Drosophila melanogaster: one gene and its partners. The protein of the gene in region 1 interacts with the protein of each later gene in a pairwise test. Each region holds a gene or a part of one and is shown in the gene's direction. Other genes may lie near its edges.

Region 1 (6,764 bases):
TTTAAATATTTTGTTTGCTCGGAAGTCATTTAGTCAAGAGTAAATTGTGCATTCTAACGAAACTGAAACAGGTATATTTATCTATTTATATTTAAATATGCATAAATGCTTATTTTATTTCTGAAGTAAATTAAAAAAAATAGCTGTTCAAATCTATACCGGAAGTAGCATGCGCCACCTAGCGAGTAGCCCACGAAGCTTGTTCAAATGTCCGAAAAGCTCGCCTAATAAATTTGAAATGTAAACAAATGTTGTTGGAAAGCTTGTTGGCAACTCGGGCGGCAGCAACAACTACACAAAAGCAGCGATGTTAGCGGCAGAGAAATTGCAAAGCTTTGTGAGCAACAACAACATGATTTTTGTTTGCTCGCTTTGTTGTTGGTTCTGAGAGCGACAGCTGTTGTAGTGTCCGTGAGAGCGCAGTTTATGTTTGTGTGCGGTGCTGAGTAAGCAACTGTTGTTGTTTCAATGTTCCCTGAGAGTTAGAGCAAAGAAGAAGAAGAAGCGCACAATGGAATTATGATCACTGGAAATTCGCAGGTAAGTTTTCAGGTAAACTATTTGGGTTCCTGTGTTTTATTTTTTTTGTCAGAGTTACAGCGTAAAAAATGTGTATTTTCTATTTGCGACTGTCACCTGTTCACTAACATATTTTGGGGAAAACCAATTATACATGTTAATGGACGTGGAAATAAATAGAAACATTACCATTAGACAGTAATAATAAGCCTGAAGTTATATTCAACATAACAATCAACATACATATGTAAAAATTGTATTGCCCAACAAAAAGATCTTGAACATGATATATCTTTTGAAAATCCATTTGAATCAATCGATTTCGATCAGGATTACCTAGTAGTCCGCTGATCCTTTGAGAGATCCTTTCGGGGTGGGTGACTAGCCTCTAACGACAGGCAACACTCTTGATGCAGTGCAACTATTTTTGTTGGCCTGTGTCCCTTTCCTACCCTCCACAACCGACAACCAACTCATTGTATCTGTATCTTTGCATTTCGTACCGCGCAGTTGCCGTTTCTCCGACTCGAAAACACTCGTCATTCGTGTGCGTGTGCATTGTTTGTCTTATTTGTTGTTCGTTGCCAGCAACAACAATAAAAAGTTCCCTGCTGTTGAGCAGCCAGCTGTGTGTGTTTGTATTGGCGCATTGGTGTGTGTCCGTGTTAGTATCTGTGTGTGTGCGGCGGAGAGTGTGCGTTGTTCTCTGTTTGCTCGCCGTCCACTCGTGTCATGTTGTTGCTGTTGCTTCAGTGTTCTACGTAGCCGATAGATACTGGTTGATACACTGAGGGAATACGTGTTTAATTGGTACTTGTTTGAACCTCATAACTATTAAATTAATACCGCTTACATGGATCATTAATAAAGTCTGCAAATAATTTTATATTTTTCCCTTTAATTAAGTTTGGGGCTAATAATACATTACCAATTTAAAACATCTTTATATTACATTTCACAATTGCCAAGTGACAACTCTATTTCTCTCAGTGCACCGCTCGCTCTCGCAGGGCAGCAGTCGCATTTGTGGCTGTGTCTGTGTGTTTTTCTCTGTGTGCTTAGTCGCCTTGGTCGCTTGGTACGCGAAACATACGACATTGCCAACAATCCAACAGTCCGCCGCCGATTCCCGAGCGCCGTGCACCGTCGACTCGACCGCGAGTTTTCGAATTCAACATTTTTGAACGTTACGTCAGTCGTCGGTCGCTGCAGCAGCAGCAGCAACAAAAATATTTTTGGCGCCGTTTTATTTGTGTGCCGTGCATCGTGTCGTTTTGAAATCGCTGCGAGCAAGGAGTTGTTGCGTTTTGAAATCGCCTCTGCAACAGGAGTTTTTCTGTAATCCAACGACGAATACCAACCAAAAGGTAATGAATTCTTTGCTTGGAACAACATCACAAGTTAGGAACAACAGCAACAATAACAGCCTGATAAGCAGCAGAAAGAAAAATTCTATATGCCATATTGTTTCCTTGTGTGCGATTGCCTGTGAATGTGTGTGTGTATTGTGTGTATTGTTGTTGTTGTTGTTGTCTATCTAACAAAGTTATTGCGATTGTTGTTGTTGCTGTCATTGGGCCACGGAATATACAATATACTGTATGTATTTTTGTTGGTGGAGGGAAACAAAGAGCGGGCCGGGTATTTCTGCAAGTTTTCTGTGTTTTGTTAGCTTTAGAAATAAATTCTTTTTTTTTGTTGTTGTTTTTGTTTTCCGTTGGGTTTTGTGTTTGGCTGTTGCTGATTCTGTGTTTTTCGATTTGTACGTTGCTGTACTTTTTGCTGAGCCCCGTTGTTAATAGATAAACATGAACATTTCTCAAGGAATTAGTACGCGCTCATGCTGATATGTTTATGTTAAATAGACGTAATACAATAAATATTGCCATATAGCCCAGGTTAGTTGTTTTTCTGCCCCTTCCAGTCGCCATTCCCATTCCATTCCATTTTCCCCCCGCCCACACCGCACACAGCAATCCAACAATAACATTAACAAAAACAACAACGGGCAGAGCCAAAACACGCGAGCAACGTTCGCCTTGATAATGATGTTCGCTGATAATAATGATGACTGGCCAAAGAACACAACAATGCTGCCAGCGCACAGTGGGACCAAAGTGTTACGAAAATGGAAAGCAATATTAATTTTTTGTTTGGTTCAGCTTAGAGTGCTAGAGTTTTCTCTTGCTACTTTTTTATGTCCGAAAAAATAGAAAACTTATTGGACTCTGAACCTGATATTAAGATTAATAGTTGAAGGGAATTATTACCTACGATTTTCCAGAGATTTACTTACAGATGTCCAAAAAATATATATATACATATAAAATACCATCTAATAGGTTTCCAAGCAATGTGGAAATTGTTATTATATTTTTCCTTGATATACTTTTGGTAATGCCCTTTTTCGATTACTTCCATCCCACTGTGCGCACGTTTTTCGCTTTGCAAAACTGGTGGGCCCAAAAGGTGCTGAAAGTGGCGGGAAAACTGTCGGAGATTTAAGAGCGGCCCAAGTGTCGCCGCGATAGAAAGGGGCTGACGGCAAAAGGGTAGGCAGTCGAGTGAATGGACAGGTGGAGTGGGCTGATTAGAATCGAAACAGGTAGTCGCAGGTGCGAGAGCGAATCGTTTGCAAGTAGTGAGCAGTGAGTGCGGTGGGTACTCGCACACATATTCGTGACTATTCAGCGGATTTGGTTTTGGCCAACATGTTTTCGGATATTGCAACACAACATTGCTTGCTGCACTGAATTGCTGCTGCTGCAGCAGAGTGTTGCTGTTGTTGCTGAAGCATTCTGTTGTTGTTGTTACTGTTGTTTTGTTGCTGCTGCTTTAGTTGTGCTGTTGTTGCTGTTATCAGTGAAGCAGACAAAAGCTTTCAGCTTTCGACGCCAGCAGCAACAGCAACAGAAACAAACGGCAACAAAAACACAAACAAGCAGCACAAACAGCCAGATTGCCTGTTATTTTTATGGCCGCTGCCATTGTCGCTGCTGTGGCTATAATAATATGAAAAGTAAACAAAGTTGCTGGCTGTCGTCGTTTCGCCGCCGAGTTGTCAACATCAACGCAACGCAATGCTTTCCTATCCTATCCAGCTAGCCAAACTGTACTGAATATAATGGCAACTACAGCTACAACTACAACTACAACGACAACAACGGCCACGGCTACAACAATGTTTTATTAAGTTTCACGAAATATATATGAGCGAAAAGCTCTATGCCTCGTTTGCTGAGACAGCAGCAACAGACAGCGGAACAGAACTGAACAGAACACAACTGAACCGAACTGAACAGAAACCAACACACAAACAAATAACACGACAAAACGAAAAGAAACCGAACACAAAACCCCAGCAGAAAAGGCAAAAAAGCTGAAAAAGAGTCGTTGAGAATTCTGTTTGTTTGCCAGCTCAAAAATAAATAGGATTGTATATAAATACATATGTATGTATGGTACATACATACATCGATAGGAAAGTCTAAAAATCAAATATTGGAGTGGCTAACTTAACTTGAAGTTGCCATTTCTTGAGATCATAACGTGCAACATGACAGCAAACCCGTTCAAACCCCTGGTAATCGCTGTTTATTTTAACATTTCTCTAAATAGACTTCAAATTTAAAACGTATCTTTTAGTGGCTCTGTGAGGGACGATACCGCCAACGAATATGACCACCTCAACCCGCAGCAGCAGCAACAACCACAGCAGCGAGCACGAGGAGCGAACCTCCAACGGCACCACCGCCTACAACCACCACAGTCCAACGGGTTCGGGATCCGGAACAGCAGGCGCCTCTATTGGATCCACCAACCGAGTGATGCAGGCGGACGAGGACTTCAACATCCGCTTCGTCAACCTGGTGCGCACCCACAAGTGTCTCTACGACAAGAAGGTGCCCGAGTACCGCAACAGGTGAGTGGCGAGTCCATCGGCTGCCAGAAGATACGATCCAGATCGTTCCGTACGTTCAGTCTTAACTAATTTAAATAACTTTTTACAGGGATAATCAGGAAAAGGCTTGGGTGCTTATTTCAAAGGAGACAAGAGAAAGCGGTAAGCAATAATAGGAAAAACATTAATCCCTTAAATTAATCAGAACTTTCATAATCTTTAGTGATCCATTGCAAGGAGCGATGGCGAAACCTTCGGGCCTGCCTATCCCGCTACATAAAGCAGCAATCCGGATCGGAGCCGCAGCACAAGCCATACTACCTGACCGAGCACATGGCGTTCCTGCTGCCCTTCCTGAAGTCCAGCCGTAACTCTTTGGAGGGGAACAACAGTCTGGCCACTCTGTACCAGATGTCCCAGCAGCATTTGCAGCATCAACCATTTCTCCTGCATCCAGCACTCCATGCGACCGAGGAGCACAAGTACTGCGCCAACACTAGCATCAATAATAATAATAATAACAACGACGTCCATAATGGTGAGAGTATGGAGGTCTTGGAGATGAAGTACTCGATATCGGAGAAGGACGATGAGGAGACCATCGACGCCTTTGATCCCGCGGTTACCAACACCCTGGGTATGAATCGTACTTCGTCCACGCCCACTCGCAGTTCTGCCCTTCAAGGAGGCGGAGGCAATTCACCGGCCAGAAGCGATACCGCTAGTGCGGATAGCATGAAAAACTTCATTCCAGATGTGCAGCTGGCCGAGACGGGCTCGCAACTCATCTACAGCGATGGTGGACATGGCACACCACCGCCTCTGCACTACCATCCGCACTCGCATCCACATCCTTTGACATTGTCCATGGATCATCACCCAGCATCCTACGAACCGGGGAGCACGAAAAGAATCAAGACGGAATGCGAGGCCACCAGCACGATGACGAATGCAGGAAGTATTTACGGCGGACTGAGTTCGTCGGAAGTGGCGGACATGGAGTTCTTCCGCAGCATTCTCCCAGATCTGGCGACTCTCACTCCACAGCAACGTCGCAAGTTCAAGATTGGCATTCTGGAGCTAATTGACGACGTTGTAACCCGATATCCCGCCCAGGATCACAGCAACGGAGGAGGCGTATCTGGCGTAGTCAACGGAAGTGGCGGTAGCAGCAATGGGGGATCTGTTAAGCATCAAAGGCGCAGCTCTGGACGCGATTGGAGGAAACAATAAAGGAATAGAAAGTGTATCGGAAAGTCACTAATCCTTAACTAGGGATAGGATAAGTTTAGTTAGAAGCTTAAGGGGGATCTGAAGCTGGAATGGGTACTAATTCGAATCTGAGCTACTTCAGTCCGCTCACTGTTAATGTGTTGTGTCTACTCAATAAGATGGGTATGTTTTCAAAGGCCTTCAATTCTTTCAAGTCCGCGAATTGTTTCGATTTTGACCAACCATTATGAATGGTCCATTTACAAAGAGCTGCAAGAACTTGCATGACCAAATATATACATATATATATGAACAACTAATATATACATTTAAAGCTATTCCGAAATCGAACACATTCAACGAACAAGAAGTAATGAGGTCTCCTTATAAGCCATTTAGTTCTGACGTAGCAGTTAAGGAATTGTGAAAATAGATTTCAAGATTTTAGAAAATGGCTGCTTCGAAAATATGTTAGTTTAAGGACACTGTATATACGCTGCTATTGAAACCTAAACTATAGAATCTGTGTACAAATGAATTTCCGTTTGAGTAAACAAAGAGGGATAAAGAGATAGATCGATATCAAACTGCTGTGTGTAATAATAAACAAATGAAAGTATGGAAAATTACACGGTAAACTTTAATTTAATTGTCGACAACTTCAACAGAGGGCTTTTTATTGGGCCTTGCCCCATTTTTTAGGCAGCGATGGACCACAATAGGTTTCCTTTCTGAGAGAAATGCACAAGGACACGACTTATCTTCGCACTAAAAGCTAAATTTCGTTAGCGGCTCTACGGAGGCTGGGATCGGATTGGATCGGATCTACAACTTCGAGGAGCCAGTCTTGGGGTAGAACTTCTTCGACGGGTCCTTAGCCATGTCGAGCAGGGTCTGAGCGGGCTTGAAGGGAGCTCCGTACAGCTCAGCATAGGATTGCATCTTGCTGACCAGTTTGCCGGCTCCATACTGATCGACCCAGCGGAAGGGACCACCGGAGAATGGCGGGAAGCCCAGGCCGAACACGGCTCCGACATCGCCCTCCAGCGGACTGTCCAGAATCTTCTCCTCCAGACAGAGCACGGCTTCGTTGATGAAGCGGGATACCATACGCAGCGTCAGATCCTCGGGG
Region 2 (4,809 bases), on another chromosome or scaffold:
CCCCGCAACCCCCGCGGCCGTCACAAGCTCTTAGCCAAATTGCTGCAGCCCGAAAAGAGAGATGGGGCGCGGAAGAGAGAGGGAGAGCGAGCGAGCGAGGAAACGGAAATAACTTGTAAACTTGCGGCACGCAATTTGCAATTACTTAGGCGACTGTTGCAAAGGAACATCAACCAACGCATGCAAAGGACAAAGGCAAGAGCGACTGCCAAAAAGTGAAACTTCCCTCAACTATTTGCTATTGATTAAACAACTAAAACGGCAAATGGAAGCAGAATTTGCGTATATGCCGTATACACCGTATGTTGCCGTTATAAAAGCTGGTCAAGATTGCGTATACGCCGCTTATTCCACTCTTGCGCTTGATTTTACAAGCCCATATTGCGTATACGCCGCACGTTCCACTCATTTTTTTCGTAAGCGTTTTTAAAGCCGTTGACGCTTGAAGGGCTTGTCACCGGTTATTCAGTTGGCCTAGTTGTTGACTTTTCTTAGCCACGCTAATTACCCGCACTGGCTGGCCAGTCGATGGGCCAGCAAACGATTTCCGCTACGATACCGTGCCACTTCATTCACGCACTCCACAAACACAGGCACATGGCACGCTACACACTTGCTGGTTTGCTCTGCCAATTTTCCCGTTGCGGGCCACAATTTTCACACACATCTATCACGGTTTACGCGCGCATTTTCCGGCTCAGCAACACGCCCGCACGCCACGAAGCTTCTTGGCCAAATGAATTGCCCGCTGGCCAACAGCAGCCGCTTCGCTCAAAGCGAGGAAATCCAGGGGGGAATCGTACCCACGAGGGGGCCACTCTCAACGCCCATGCGCACTGCCTTATGGCCACATGACTCTGGAGAGGATTTGAAGCAGCGATTCGGGAGCACTGCCATCGCCGCTCGCAATATTTACAATTTGCAACTGGCAGGCGGCGGATTTCGACGCCGCTTCGCCTTTCATTCAACTGTCAGATTTCGTGAGAGTCACTCAGAGAAAATACCCCGAGAATGGAGTCGCTGGGCGAGGGAGAGAAAGTGCTGGAGCGCAAGTTCCTGACCACAGAGGCGGCGCCACATGGAGCTAATGGGGATTCTTAATTGTTTAAGATATTTGAAAATGCATAGCAGGAAATAATGGTTTAGTTTACCAAGTAGAAGAAATAAAATCACCAAGATATACTAACTATTATAGATATATGTATGGATTAATATTTATTGTTCAGAGTTTATTATTGCACTTTATAATACATTTATGACCAAGTTAGAAAATCCAATCTTCAATTTCAATTTCCTAACTTTTAATCCATTAAGCATATGAATCATTGGGCTTTAAACTTGTAATTCTTAAGCTAGTGGTTAAAAGTAATATGGTCTTGAGAAAAAAGAAATATATAAACACAAATCAATATTATATATCCGGCAAAAAGTTCTAGTGTTCGCAGCTTAAACCCGGTGCTTAAAAAGTAAATCCGCTATATACTTGCTGAATAACTTTTGTATTATTTCAATATCACTTTATATCAATTTCCAGTGCTGTTGGTTAATTTATTCAGTGTTTTCCATAATTAACGCAACAAGAGCCGGCAAAGTGCTGCTGAGGCAACCAACAACAAACCGCCTGCGCCTGCTCTGTTGCCCAGGACAACCGCTGGCTAGAATAAATAAATTCCCAGGTGTCAAGTGGTGGGTGCTGCGACGAGGGGTTAGCGGTGGGCATGCGGACTCCGCTCACCTGAGCTCCAGTCGACGGTTGGCAGCGCCACCGCAATGCAACCAAGGAGTCAAAGTTGAGCCAAGAAGCGCGGTATGCGCCCAGTTTTTCCAACTTGGGGTAGACCGGAGACGGAGGAGCACCTGCCCCAATGTGGGCGCAAAGGTGTCAATCATAAGAGCGCATCGAAATGGCTGCAAAATCAAACTCAGTGAACAAATAGCAACTACTCAAGCTGAAATCAAAATTCAAAGTTTGAAAGGCCTAGGAGTTTCGGCAGTTCTCAGTACAAACTAAAGAAAAACACACGGGTGACAACGCTAATACCCCAAAAAAAACAAAATACACTACAAACGACGAAAGGAACTTAATCAGAGAACCGACGAAGAATAAGCATACAGGATGTCGGGGGCTGGAGAACACTCAGATGAAGAGTCCTATGGAGAGGAGTCCTTCGAGGAGGACTCGGAGTCGGAGGTGGAGGTGGAGGAAGAAGAGATTGAGTATATTGAGCCAGAGGAGTCAAAACCAAGTGACGCTCTTCTGTTGGGGGAGAGCGACACCCAAAGCGAGAGCGATGTGAAAGAAGAGTTTCTTAGCGGCAACGTAAGTCCTCCTCACCAGGAGCTGACTATTTCCGAGTTCAGCCTTAATCCGCAACCTGCATCGCGCCCACAGCCACACGCCCGTCGCTATTTGGGCGCCCGAGTGGTGTCCTACCTGAGTTCCTCCTCTGACGACGAAAGCCAAGTGGTCATCACCAAGACGGTAGCCGAGGTAAATCAACTAAGTCTGCGAGTGGACACGCCTCCGGAGGATGAGACGCCCTCGGTGCGCACTCTGATGCCAGGCAGTGCCCATTCTCGGGTTAAGGATGAGGACGAGGCTGAAGACGAGGATGATGACGAAGGTGATGGCGAAAATGATAACGATAATGAGGACGAGAATGATGACGAGGATGCTGAAGTCGAGGAAATCGAAGAAGAGGAGGAAGAAATTCCAGGAGACGAAGACGACGCCCAAAGCGATGGATCCATGGGTCGTCAATCCGCCGACGACAGCGACGAGGAGGAGGGCACGGATGTGGAAGTGGAGCAGCTGGAGGAGGACGAACCAATTGTAACAGCTGTGTGCAAAAAGACGGTCCAGAAGGAGTTACCACCGCCCCAGAAGGACATTGTTTCGCTGGTCGATGCCAGTGATAACAGTAGTGAGCACAGTGTGGTCACCATGTGTGCATCAGGAGACGAAACAGACAACACCTTGGTGAAGTATCCTAGATTACGAAAGCAGGTAAATAATGGATTAGATAATATCTCACTACAGATAATTAAACACCTACTCACAGCAACCACTTACTGCTAAGGATTCGCAATCGCTAAAAGAGCAGGAAGAACCGGAAGAACCGGAACAACCCGAAGAAAATCAAACAGAAGAACACATGCCAACATCACAGCCCGATCTGGCGAGGGTTCGGTACCTGGAGCAGCAGATGACCCAAATGTCGGAATTGATCATGAAGTCATTCCAGATCAATGGAGGAGCGCCAAATAGCCAAGCCTTCGAGCAGCTTGCCATGGCCACGGAGATGTTGCAGCAACGAAGTGACAGGCGCGGGGACACTGAATCCGAGATGTCATCGATGACGGAAACGACTATGACCAGTGCTAGGAGCTTGGGTGGAGGAATTCCCCCCCTGACAATGCGGATGGAGCGTTCTCAGGAGGCACTACTCACGACGCGATCTTCCAAGCTACCCAGACCCAAATGCAGATGTCCCTCGGAATCGGATTTAATTGAACACGAGCAGAAACTGGATATGGGTCACGAGTTGCCCCATGACCTGGCAGCGAACTTCGGCTTGGGCGAAGGCTACCTCGTAGACGAATGTGGCCAGGGCGACGGACTCATGAGGCATCCACAACAGCGCAAACCAATGGAGTTAAACAGGCGAGCCGTTAGCGGAACTCCAAGCACCTTCAACAGCGACGGTTGCGAGTATCAAATCAATGTGTCGCGTTCCCGCTGCTCTAATGATAAGATTAAGTAAGTAACTTATAATACTTATACACTCTATTACATATAATTACATCTGCATAGCTATAAAAACCTTGGGCGCAAAAGCTTTAGCTTTACGAATCCCCAAGTGCGCGAGATCGAGCGCCAGAATCAGATTCTTTTGCGCAAGATGATGACTGTGAAGCCCACGGCGACGATCAAGGCTAGCACCAGTAGCATAAAGATCAATGGGCCCGAGAAGGTGAGTACATAATATAGAACTTATGTCCAATATTAAACCTCTTCCTTAACAATGTCATACAGCGACAGACACCTCCAGCGCCACGACTGTCCAGCGCAGCTGTGAACCGGAAGAAGAATCAGCGCCAGATCGACCTGGACAACGATCTGCTCAAGCGGAAACTGGAGGCCATCGGCACACGGCGACCGCAATTCAAGTGACGCCTCCACAGGCAGCTCCAACTGTGTTCATTAAGTAATTAAAAGTGTTTATGCGAATTTACAAAATTAAAATTTATTGCAAGTTGAAAAGTGTAAAAAGCTGTATAATCTTAATATAATTTTAAGGGAATTTATAAACCAACTAGAATTCATGCAAAAATGTATAGTACTAGTAAAATTTCGTTCCGATCAAAGTCAATGCATCAAAATGTGTTTATAATTTGTACATTTAGGTATAAACAATTCTATAAATGTTATCGTAATCAATAATCGAATTGGATAGCAATATTAAATTTAACAATTATTTTGCAGCACGTTGGTAACAAATTAAACTAAGAAAAACTCCCGAAAATAAATGAAAGAAGGCGAAAATATTTAAACAGGTAAAAGGAATTAGATGGCATATCTGAAACTTCAAAGAAAAGCTTACAGAGTCACCTCGTTGATCTTGGTCAGAAATGTCTCTCCCAATGCTTTCATTGCTTTAAAGGCAGCATCTCCGTTCTTTTCCTTGAACTCTTCTTCATTTTTAATCTTGACCTTCTCGCGGCGTTCCAATTCACGATAGATAACCTGACCAATCTGAAAAGAAAACTAAGATTGAACGAAATTGTATGGAAAAGTGAATATCAACT
Region 3 (3,700 bases), on another chromosome or scaffold:
TATAATAAAATTTAATGCGCTCATATTTCATGGGCCAACAAACGCACGCACGCACAGACAAAAAGCGGATCTCGAAAGCCCAGGGCTGGGCAAATAAATAAATCATCCAGCCAACTTTATCGCTTTATTTTAAAAAGCACTGCCAGAATGATTGAATCGTTTCAGTCGCATAAAACGGATTTACACGCATATGAGGCAAAAACACTCTTGTTTTTTCACCAAGCGATTTGTTCTCAATTTTTTCAGTTCAACTTTTAACAGCCATAAATGGGTTTTCAATAAGCCGTTCTGTATCAAAATAAAAAAATATTTTTGGTTGTACAATATATTTTCAGCTTGGCGATAAGTTAATATCAACAAATTGTCAAGCGTGTGTGATTTTAACGTTAATTGATCTGTTTTTAATTTAGCTGCTTAAACAGGCGATAGGAAAACTTTCTCATCAACTTTGATAACATTTTTCGCATTCAATATCGAGGAGTATGATAAACTTTCTTACGTATTCAGGCCCACACAAGTGGGCACAGCGCAGAACAGAAATTAAGTGTTAAAGTTTAACTTTAAGGTTCACAGTTATCAGTTTTTTTAAATAAATCAACAGAAAAAAATATAGTCAACTGTCTCAACTATTAGATATACATATATGTATATTTATAATTGCAAAAAAAAAGATAAAAAGGGTTTTGTTCAAATATTACATTCATCTTGTATATTTTTTTGATGTAATATCGTCCAAACCAATGGCCCATTAAATATATATATATATATATATATCCCTTCCATCTAATTTTTGTTTAAATACTATACATTTTTAAAACTATATTAAAACTGTATTTATCCACTATCAGTATACATGCATGGAAGCAGTTTTATGAAAACAAACAATTTCTTTTATTTGAGTACATACCTTTGTCGTTTATTAATTTAATAATCCCCGTTAAAATGATCGTCTAAATATATCTGATTTAAGTGCAAATCAAATGTTATTTTCAATAAGTTTTATCCAATGTTTGCAATCCACTCACAATAACATCCACAGAGTCACTCAAAAATGGTCTAGCTCTTGGAATAAGTATTATTTTACAGCGCAGCTTCCGTATTCTGTGATAAGTTGAAATAACTCTATATACGCCGAGTTCAGTAAACGACAAAACTAGGCGGCAATGGACGGAAATCGATGTGGTTTTGGGGTGAAGCCCATAATGACACGAAGATACCAAAAATCGAAGCTATTTAACGCGGACGCCCAACGGCGAAGGTGTTTTCACAACTATTTTTAGTAGTCCATAGCCACTTGGGTTTGTGCTCCCTTGCTGCTCGCATTTTCTCGCCGACACTTGGGTTTTGATAAGCTCGCGATTTGCACAATTAACAGTGATGGGTAGAGCGGGCGCGGGGAACACGGGGACGGGTCAAGCATCCGCGGCACTTATTGTGATTTTCTTGGGCTGCGAGCGCGCTTTGTGCATTTAATAGGCACGATAAAAGCGGCGGAGCTTTGAGCATGTACGCAGCAACAGATTTGAGAATATTTTTTTGCTATTGTTATAACAACAACAATTAGTTGAAACTTATGTTAGTTTCACACCGCTGGCAGTTTTGTTCTCACTTTTGTCAAGTTTATTGAGATTTGCAAAATTTTATTTTCAAATAATTTTCCTTTGGCGCCAAATGAGCATCCATCCCTGGCAGTGCTTCGTGATCAGCTGATTTTAGTGCCTATCAACTTATACGTATGCATACTAAAAACGGTCACTCTGCACGCCAGAAGTCATATTCATTGCTTATAAGCAATTATTAATTTCAACTAATTTCATACGTGTCTCGCTTTAGTGGGCATTATGGCCGACAATTTGGAGCCCCTGGAGCCCAGCCTGCAGAATCTCGTCGAGCAGGACTCCCTCAAGTGGATCTTCGTGGGCGGAAAAGGCGGCGTGGGCAAGACGACTTGCAGGTAAAACAACAACAACAAGCCAACTTTCTCGGTTGATCTAATTAATCTTCGTGTTAAACATAGTTCTAGCCTAGCCGTTCAGCTGTCGAAAGTGCGCGAATCCGTGCTAATCATATCCACAGATCCGGCGCACAACATATCGGATGCATTCGATCAGAAGTTCACCAAGGTGCCGACAAAGGTTGGTGGAAGAATCCGGAAATGAAGTCATTTACCATTGTATAAGCTAAACTAAAGCACATCGCAATTCCTTTTCCGCAACCAGGTAAATGGCTTTGACAACCTGTTCGCCATGGAAATCGATCCAAATGCCGGTCTCAACGAGCTGCCCGAGGAGTACTTCGATGGCGAAAATGAGGCGCTGCGCGTGAGCAAGGGCGTCATGCAGGAGATGATCAACGCCCTGCCCGGCATCGACGAGGCGATGAGCTATGCAGAGGTTATGAAGCTGGTCAAGGGCATGAACTTCTCGGTAGTCGTCTTCGACACGGCGCCCACGGGACACACGCTGCGTCTGATTGCATTTCCCCAGGTGGTGGAGAAGGGGCTGGGCAAGCTGCTGCGGCTCAAGATGAAGGTGGCGCCCCTGCTGTCACAGTTCGTCTCCATGCTGGGCATGGCTGATGTGAACGCTGACACACTCTCCCAGAAGCTGGACGACATGCTGCGCGTTATCACCCAGGTCAACGAGCAGTTCAAGAACCCAGTACGTAGAAACATGTATTTAGCTCGTACAACGCCTAATCCGCATTCGTCCTTCGGCAGGATCAAACTACATTCGTCTGCGTGTGCATAGCAGAGTTCTTCTCGCTGTACGAGACGGAACGACTTGTGCAAGAGCTAACCAAGTGCGGCATCGACGTCCACAACATCATTGTAAACCAACTGCTGTTTCTGCAGAACTCGCACGACTCGTGCAGCATGTGCGCCTCCCGCTTCAAGATTCAGGAGAAGTACCTGGACCAGATTGCCGACCTGTATGAAGACTTCCACGTAACCAAGTTGCCGCTCCTCGAGAAAGAGGTGCGCGGTCCAGAGAGCATCCGTTCTTTCTCCGAGAACCTTATGAAGCCCTACAACCCCAAGGGCGAGCCCAAGGAATAGGATAGCCCGTCCAACCCTTTACCCATCCGTTTGTAAGTTTCTTCCTTAGTTTGTGTGAACAGAAAGTGCGTAAAATAAATTAAAGTTGAGGCAGCGATCCCCGAAGGGATCTGCTTCGACGTGTAATGCGTAGACAACGCTTAACGGATGCAGTATTCCAAACTGGAGAGGGTTACAACGAATGATACTTTCAAAGACCGCCCCCGGCACGCTCCATTTGCATTACGGTGGGAAAGTTGCTGCCTTGCATCTGCCTTTTGTGGTCCAGATACAGCCGTGCGTACCGCAGGTACTCGGTGTTGCCCTGCACAATAGCCGACATGAGCAGAAGGAACTCATACAGGTTCACCTTGCCCTGGGCATGGACATCAATGTCCCGCAGGACATCGTGCATCAGGTCGACGGGCACCTCCTTTACGCCCATCGTTTTCATTGCCTTGCAGCAGTCTGCAATCGACACGTACCCCGTATTGTTATCATCCATTTGCCTGAACTGCCCGGCAAACTTGCGCACTTGGCGCACGCTCATCTTAATGGGAATGCTCATCTGCGAAGCGCTCTCCTTGGTCAGCTGGCCCATCTGGGAGTTAAGAAAAGTTCGCGTCTGGCGGATCTGCTTTTTAATTTGATCTCGCGACCAGT
Region 4 (7,008 bases), on another chromosome or scaffold:
TGGCAAAGAGAGAATACAAATTCAACCACTACGAATTCGAATGTCGCTCTCCAGTGGGGATTTTAGAAAATGAATCATTATAAGTTTTAAAAAATACTCGAATTTATAATTCGAAAAACGGGTTTTGCAACAGGGAAAGCGGGAAAATGTCGCAAAACAGATGGGCATCCGCATCGAGTATCGATGCGATATATCGCACGCATATCGCCGCGAGAAAAGGAAGCTATCTGGGTCTAGCCGACGTTTTGATGCTCTATAGTGGAATATTTTCTAATAAATTAAATTTCGCTTGATCGATTTTGCAGCAATTGATAAAAGCTTATTTCAGTAGATCATCAAATTGGAAAGCCAATCGCACTGAAGTACATATGAAACCATATAATTGATCATATTGATAATGTATTAGATAGGATTGCCGCTATCTGAAAAAGTGATAATGCTCTATACAAGGGTATAATGAACGAATGGCAGGCACATGGAAGCCACAAACAGAAACAGCAAAATTGCAGCTGCTATGTATGTTGCTCGACGAATAGGGTAAAAACGGCAACAGCGAATGATGGCGGCAAAGGCAAACGAGCGATAGGTGAACTGAGGGGCGTACCTGCGGGGGGATCGAACTTGAGTCGACTGTTAAGTAGGGTTCTGTTTTTTAAATATCAAGTTGCCGCTCGACCGCTCTCTCAGCTTAGACTTTGAGTAGCACACGTGTGTACTCGATTATGGAACCAGCAGCTGTTCTCGAATTAGTTAATGCTTGAACGCTGGAATAGTTTTGTAATATTTTAGATATTTATACATGTATAGCTACCATTTGATCACTACAGTGTCATCTGTAAATGCTCCAACCCTCAAACCGCTGAGTAATTAAGTACATTATTTAATATGTATGCATTTTTAATAAATGCGCAAGTAGACAAATTATATGCACTTAACTGCATGTAAGGGCAACTTTTTAACCAACCAACAACATATGCATGAATTTCTATCGCTCTTCGTGCTGAACCATAAATAATTTCGGTTCGCGCAAACAAGTCAGTAAAATTCAGCAAACCTGACGCACCCCCTCATGAATATGAATAATGACACGACGCCGCTGTCGCTGGCAACTGGCACAACAAAAGCAGCGAACATGCAGTGACGCGCTGTTTACACTAGAATATCGCGAATTCTTAAATTATTAACAAGTCTCACTGGAGCCCAACCCACTCACAAAACCCATTCCTTTTTGATTTAATTGAAGGACCTGAATATAGAGATAACTATTGTTAAAAACATTCTGCTGTTTGTAAAAACATGAAACATAATTGCACTAACTAAGCTAATAAGGGTAAACATTGCTAGAATATAGATATTTGTTACTCGAAGTTTCTATAACTCGAACATGGGTTTCGGTAACATGGATGTTGATCGACAAAGCCGCGTTTATGCCTCCGCTTTAAACAGGTATTCGTGTAATGACGCACTGCGCATAAACGCAGCGGCAGAGGCGATGGCAGAGCGGCGGCAGAGAGCACGGACGTCGCCGGCAAAATGAAATGGAACGCCGAGGGTGCCAGAGAGATACAGATACATTCGGGCACCGAGTGCGGGCGAGATAGAACGACAACTCCTGTTCCCGGTTCGTCGTCGTTCGTCATTCCCATATTCGCTTCTCGTATTCCCTCCCATTCCCATTCGCAATCCCAATTCCCAATTCCCGTCACACGAGTTAGCAGCACATCGCACAGCTGCATCGCTCCGCTCCGATCCTTTTTAATTTTTTGTTGTGCCTTCGGTGGCGTGCTCATTTCGAGAACAGAGTAACCCCTTTTTATTTGTCAGTTGTCAACGGCGCCCCTGCAGGCAGAAAGCAGAAACTGAAACAGCAGAGGAAGAAGAAGAAGCAGCACAGCACGGGCACAGCACGAAGCACGCAGCACAGCACAAGCACAGAGGCGAAGCGAAGCAAAGCAAAGCAGAGGCAACACAGAAAAACAGCAAAGCATTGGAGTAGTTGTTTGGATGTGGACGGAAAGGAAGACTGGCGGCGACTAACTAAAAGGTATTTGTTGTTCACCCACTCATCTGTGTGCGTGCAGTGCGCTAGTGAAAAGCTGTTCTCACCGTTTGCCAAAAAGACAAGAGGTACGAAAAAAGCACAAACAACAACAACAGCGAAAAATAGTAGCATTCGTTTATTTAATGCTCGCGTTCGTATTTTTTTTGAAAACCTAGATGAAAAAGAAATTTTCTGCTGCTGCTGTTGTTGCCTCAGTATATAAGTGTGTGCGTGTTTAAGTCAGTGTGTGTGTTGTGTGCGTGTTTTTGCCTGTGTATGAGCGCCTGGCTCTCTTTGGGTGTGCGAGAGCGAGTGTGCTGAGTAAGTGTGTGTGTGTCCATCCGTGTGCCTGTCAGTTTGACTGTGTGAGTGCATGGCGGACTAAAAAGAACCCGACGACAGCACTGTAAAAATTCGATTTGTGTGCTGTGCAAACGGCGGCGGAAGCGAGCAGATTTTTGGCAAATAGTGAGCGATTATCGGATTGAGTAAATACAACAAACAACAGAGACACGGCCGCAGCAGCAGCAGCATTAACAGTAATCAATCGAACTACCTCCCTATGCCACCGCACCGATCCCCCTTGCATATGTAATCGTAACTGTAAACCTAATTGTGTGCCTCTTTTCTTCTCTTTTCATCCACTCTCCTTTGCGTTGCTGCTTCTTCGTGCTCCCTCTCTCGCACTCGCATTCTCTCTGTCTCTCACGTACTCGCTTCTTTCTCGCCGGGAACTCTCAACGCACGAATAGCAGTACGTTGACAGGAGCAGCTCGGAACGGACAGGAAAAGCAGGAGACTAAACAGTAAGCAATAAATTGATTTGGCGTATAGTAGCTTACACCAAAGTACATATATTGCCGCATATATAGCCAGCCGGTCACTTGCGGATCAGCCAACGTCCTGGGCCCCAAGGCGATAGATACCACGATAAGGAGATACAGCGATACCACCAATCATTAGCAGGCGACAACGACACATCCGCATCCGCAGAAGATGTCCAACGGCAAGGCGACGGTCTCGTTCTTCGAGACCGGGAGCACCAAACAGTTCGAGTACTGCTACCAGCTCTATCCCCAGGTTCTTAAGCTAAAGGCCGAGAAGCGCTGCAAGAAGCCGCAAGAGCTGATCCGCCTGGATCAGTGGTATCAGAATGAACTGCCCAAATTGATTAAGGCACGCGGCAAGGACGCGCATATGGTATACGATGAGCTCGTCCAGTCGATGAAGTGGAAGCAGTCGCGCGGCAAATTCTATCCGCAGCTATCCTACCTGGTCAAGGTCAACACACCGCGCGCCGTCATCCAGGAGACAAAGAAGGCCTTCCGCAAGCTGCCCAATCTGGAGCAGGCGATCACAGCTTTATCGAACCTCAAGGGCGTTGGCACCACAATGGCCAGTGCACTGCTGGCAGCCGCAGCTCCCGATTCGGCACCATTCATGGCCGACGAGTGCCTGATGGCCATACCAGAGATCGAGGGCATCGATTACACCACCAAGGAGTACCTCAACTTCGTCAATCACATTCAGGCCACCGTGGAGCGCCTCAATGCGGAGGTGGGCGGGGATACGCCGCACTGGTCGCCTCATCGCGTGGAGCTGGCCCTCTGGTCACACTATGTGGCCAATGATCTCAGTCCCGAGATGCTCGACGATATGCCGCCGCCTGGATCCGGCGCCTCCACTGGCACCGGTTCACTCAGCACAAACGGCAACAGCAGCAAGGTGCTCGATGGCGACGATACCAACGATGGTGTGGGTGTTGATTTGGACGACGAAAGCCAAGGAGCAGGTAAGCAGCTAAGATGATCCGATAACTGCGGCTTGAGTATACACCCTTGCAACAAAACACTCAAACCGAGTGGTCTTTTCCAGAAACCAAGTATTTTTCCTATCCGGAATTTTCCATTAAACATTATGTTTGTAGTAGCCTAGTGGTCAATTTACAATTTACAATTTATTCGTTACTCGTGGCGTCATGTTAAATAAAAAGGAGGAATTGTAAAGTTACTACTGTAAAATAGTTAACTTTTAACATATTATCAGTAGCTTATACTTGTTGGCAGCTTTTCAAAAGTGTTAGGATGTCTAATAATTTCAAACACAGAGTTTCTTTGTTTGATTACTCTGACCGCAGTTCGCCGAGTTAACAAATTGACCATTGATGGCTAATCCAATGCTTTCTATCCCCCAGGCGGTCGCAACACTGCTACAGAATCGGAGACAGAGAATGAGAACACCAACCCGGCTGCTCTGACGCCTCTACAGTCGGGCGAGGCCAAGAACAACGCAGCTGCCGTTGGCGCCGCCCTGCAGGACGGTGACTCCAACTTTGTTTCGAACGATTCCACCTCCCAGGAGCCGATCATCGATGACAACGATGGCACCACACAGACAACGGCCACCACTTCCACAGAGGACGGTGAGCCCATCGCCCTAGACATTGGCATTGGCATCGGTTCGAGTGGAACACCGCTCGCCTCGGACTCTGAAAGCAATCAGGAGGCGCCGCCCAAGACCAACAGCCTGCCCATCCTGACTCCCACACAGCACTCGAGCCAGAATCAGAATCAAAAGCAGTCGCCGAGCCAGCCCCACAAAACTAACAATTCGATCACCAACAACGGTCAGCCTGCTCCTTTGGCAGAAGAGGAAGCGGTTACAGCAGCACCACAGCCAGCCAGCAAAGCGACTGCAGCACCAGCCAATGGAAATGGTAACGGGAACGGCGTCCTGGGCGACGAGGATGAGGATGAGGCGGAGGACGAGGAGGAAGATGAGCTGGACGAGGAGGAGGATAATGAGGCGGAGCTAGAGGCTGACGAGAGCAATAGCAGCAACGGCATTGTGAGGGACAGTAAACTGCAGCAGCTGGCGGCGAACAAGGCGGTGGATGCGGTTTCACCGGTAGCAGCGGGTGCAGACTCGGCACCAGCCATTGGACAGAAGCGTACTGCCCTGCACTGCGATATGGAGCTGAAGAACGCCGGCGGAGTGGGTGTGGGCGTGGGGGAGAAGTCACCGGATCTAAAGAAACTGCGCAGCGAATGAGGCGGAGGTGAGGAAACGAAATACGGATACGGATGCGGATGCGGGTCAGAAACGGGGATCGGTTCGGCTCGGCACGTTTCGGTTCGCCGCGTATCCGGTGGAAAGACATATGTATGTAGTGCAGTTGAGTCGACATAGAGACATAGAGCAACATTACCTACACTTTACCACAACAACATTCAAGAAATTCTACTATTAAGCAACTAACTATACATACATATAATATATTATATATATATATATATACACATATATATATATATATATACAACATATAACGAGATGCGAACACCCAACACACTCCACTCTCATACACACAACACAGACACACACAACCCGACATAACATGAACATAACCGATCAGATCAGAGCGGAATATAGGATCCCGATCCAGAAGGCAGTAAGCAGCACCACAAACAACATTTCAATAGCATAGAAAGCGCGCCAAGATGAAGAATCAGAAGAATCCGATCAAGAATCCGAAGAACAAGCAGCAGAATCAGCAGCAACAGAGAGTTCAGAATGCAGCGTTAACGTAATTTAACTAAAACGAAAAGCAAATGCATACATGAATAGTAACTACAAAACAAGATCAGATGGAAATCGATATTTTTACACAGTCAAAAGGAACATTTAAATATAAAGAAATTTACAAATGCCGCAGTTGCCCACTACATACAAAAAACAAAAAAAAAATATGAAAAATAAAAAGCGAAAGAAAACAAAATGATTAAGATGGAAACAACAATAATTATAATAAACAGAAACGTAATTTATATACATAGGTATTTAAATTTAATAATAAATCAAAACTTGTCGTATAAACCAAGCCCCCCACCACCAACTCCACCACCACCCCCTTCGACCGTCGACCCGCAGCAACTCGCGCTCTCTCTCTATCTCTCTCACTCAAAACACGCCGCACACAGAATACACCCCCTCCCCACACACATAAACACACAAACACTCGGAAGAAACAAAACAAAACAAAACTCATTTCAACACTAAGAAATTTTTGTGGTCGTAATTATAATAATATAATTTATATTATGTGTAAAACTTTTTTTTAACTTTACATATACTGAATTTTTTATAATTTATACGATAATCACGTTTCATTTGATTTCCAAAAGAGAAAAAAGAAGATACGGAAGCATACGGCCCGCATCTTAATTGCACCCGACGCAGGTCGTCCGATCTCCGCGTGGTTTGGGTTGCCGGTACCGGGTGGTTTCCCCGATATCCACGACCCATACCACTCGCAGATCGGTCGGAACTTTGAAAGTAACAACACATCTGAAAATTATAATCATTTTTATTATTAGTAGCATAAGTGCGAATAAAATGTGAAATATTAAGAAAACACGGCATAAAACTGAAAACATCCCACAATCATCTTCAATTGTTTTATCACTTCAATGGGGTTTTTGCATTTGGTGTTTGAATAGGCGTTACATCGAGAGCCGTTGGAACTAGTCATCGACTTATCGAAAATAATGTAATGGCTCGTCCGAATATGGCAACGCTCTTCAAGTGGGCAGATGTATCGATGTCTATGCATCGATAGCATGGTGTGCTAACAACACAGCTCTAGTGCTAATCAAAAGAAAACACAGAACAGGACGGAAATATATAGAATACTTTTGCACTTAATTTGACTTGCCACGACTACCTGGCCAACTCGATCGGCGATATAGACCACCGGCCCATCAGTCAATTTCATTCTGGCATTGATCGAGCTCCGTGAAACTTGCATTCCAGCTGGCCACCATCCCATACGTCCATATATCCTTTATAAAATATCTATAAATCGAAGAGGAATCCTAGCCCCGCCGACCATGTCATTGGATCGCCTTGGTTGCTGGCCGGATCGGAGTTAATTGAGACTATGCACCGGAATCGAAACAGCTCCGCAT

Evidence for each region.
Region 2: the proteins of brwl (region 1) and hmw interact in a two-hybrid assay, tested with the Drosophila melanogaster proteins (one large-scale study listed by BioGRID).
Region 3: the proteins of brwl (region 1) and CG1598 interact in a two-hybrid assay, tested with the Drosophila melanogaster proteins (one large-scale study listed by BioGRID).
Region 4: the proteins of brwl (region 1) and Amun interact in a two-hybrid assay, tested with the Drosophila melanogaster proteins (one large-scale study listed by BioGRID).

Annotation. Positions count from the first base shown.
Region 1 is NT_033779.5:9,567,313-9,574,076, forward strand, and holds brwl (brickwall), read left to right. Parts: upstream 1-1,577; 5' UTR 1,578-1,886; intron 1,887-2,958; exon of another isoform or gene 2,959-4,102; intron 4,103-4,164; 5' UTR 4,165-4,196; coding exon 4,197-4,441; intron 4,442-4,529; coding exon 4,530-4,582; intron 4,583-4,643; coding exon 4,644-5,653; 3' UTR 5,654-6,260; downstream 6,261-6,764. Other genes in the region: Mtpalpha (mitochondrial trifunctional protein alpha subunit), read right to left, coding at 6,458-6,764.
Region 2 is NT_033777.3:18,360,010-18,364,818, forward strand, and holds hmw (hemingway), read left to right. Parts: upstream 1-1,984; 5' UTR 1,985-2,116; coding exon 2,117-2,320; intron 2,321-2,392; coding exon 2,393-3,007; intron 3,008-3,062; coding exon 3,063-3,760; intron 3,761-3,814; coding exon 3,815-3,974; intron 3,975-4,036; coding exon 4,037-4,174; 3' UTR 4,175-4,268; downstream 4,269-4,809. Other genes in the region: WRNexo (WRN exonuclease), read right to left, coding at 4,601-4,756. UniProt on the Drosophila melanogaster protein: Involved in assembly and/or maintenance of motile cilia. Required during spermatogenesis for axoneme elongation. Necessary for optimal function of the chordotonal (hearing) organs.
Region 3 is NT_033778.4:7,537,732-7,541,431, reverse strand, and holds CG1598 (uncharacterized protein), read left to right. Parts: upstream 1-1,735; 5' UTR 1,736-1,841; coding exon 1,842-1,954; intron 1,955-2,017; coding exon 2,018-2,135; intron 2,136-2,219; coding exon 2,220-2,660; intron 2,661-2,719; coding exon 2,720-3,058; 3' UTR 3,059-3,200; downstream 3,201-3,700. Other genes in the region: Gpo2 (glycerophosphate oxidase 2), read right to left, coding at 3,249-3,700. UniProt on the Drosophila melanogaster protein: ATPase required for the post-translational delivery of tail-anchored (TA) proteins to the endoplasmic reticulum. Recognizes and selectively binds the transmembrane domain of TA proteins in the cytosol.
Region 4 is NC_004354.4:11,709,594-11,716,601, reverse strand, and holds Amun (amun), read left to right. Parts: upstream 1-1,571; 5' UTR 1,572-2,044; exon of another isoform or gene 2,045-2,127; intron 2,128-2,284; exon of another isoform or gene 2,285-2,362; intron 2,363-2,390; exon of another isoform or gene 2,391-2,580; intron 2,581-2,754; exon of another isoform or gene 2,755-2,793; 5' UTR 2,794-2,847; exon of another isoform or gene 2,848-2,913; 5' UTR 2,914-3,037; coding exon 3,038-3,833; intron 3,834-4,235; coding exon 4,236-5,092; 3' UTR 5,093-6,482; downstream 6,483-7,008.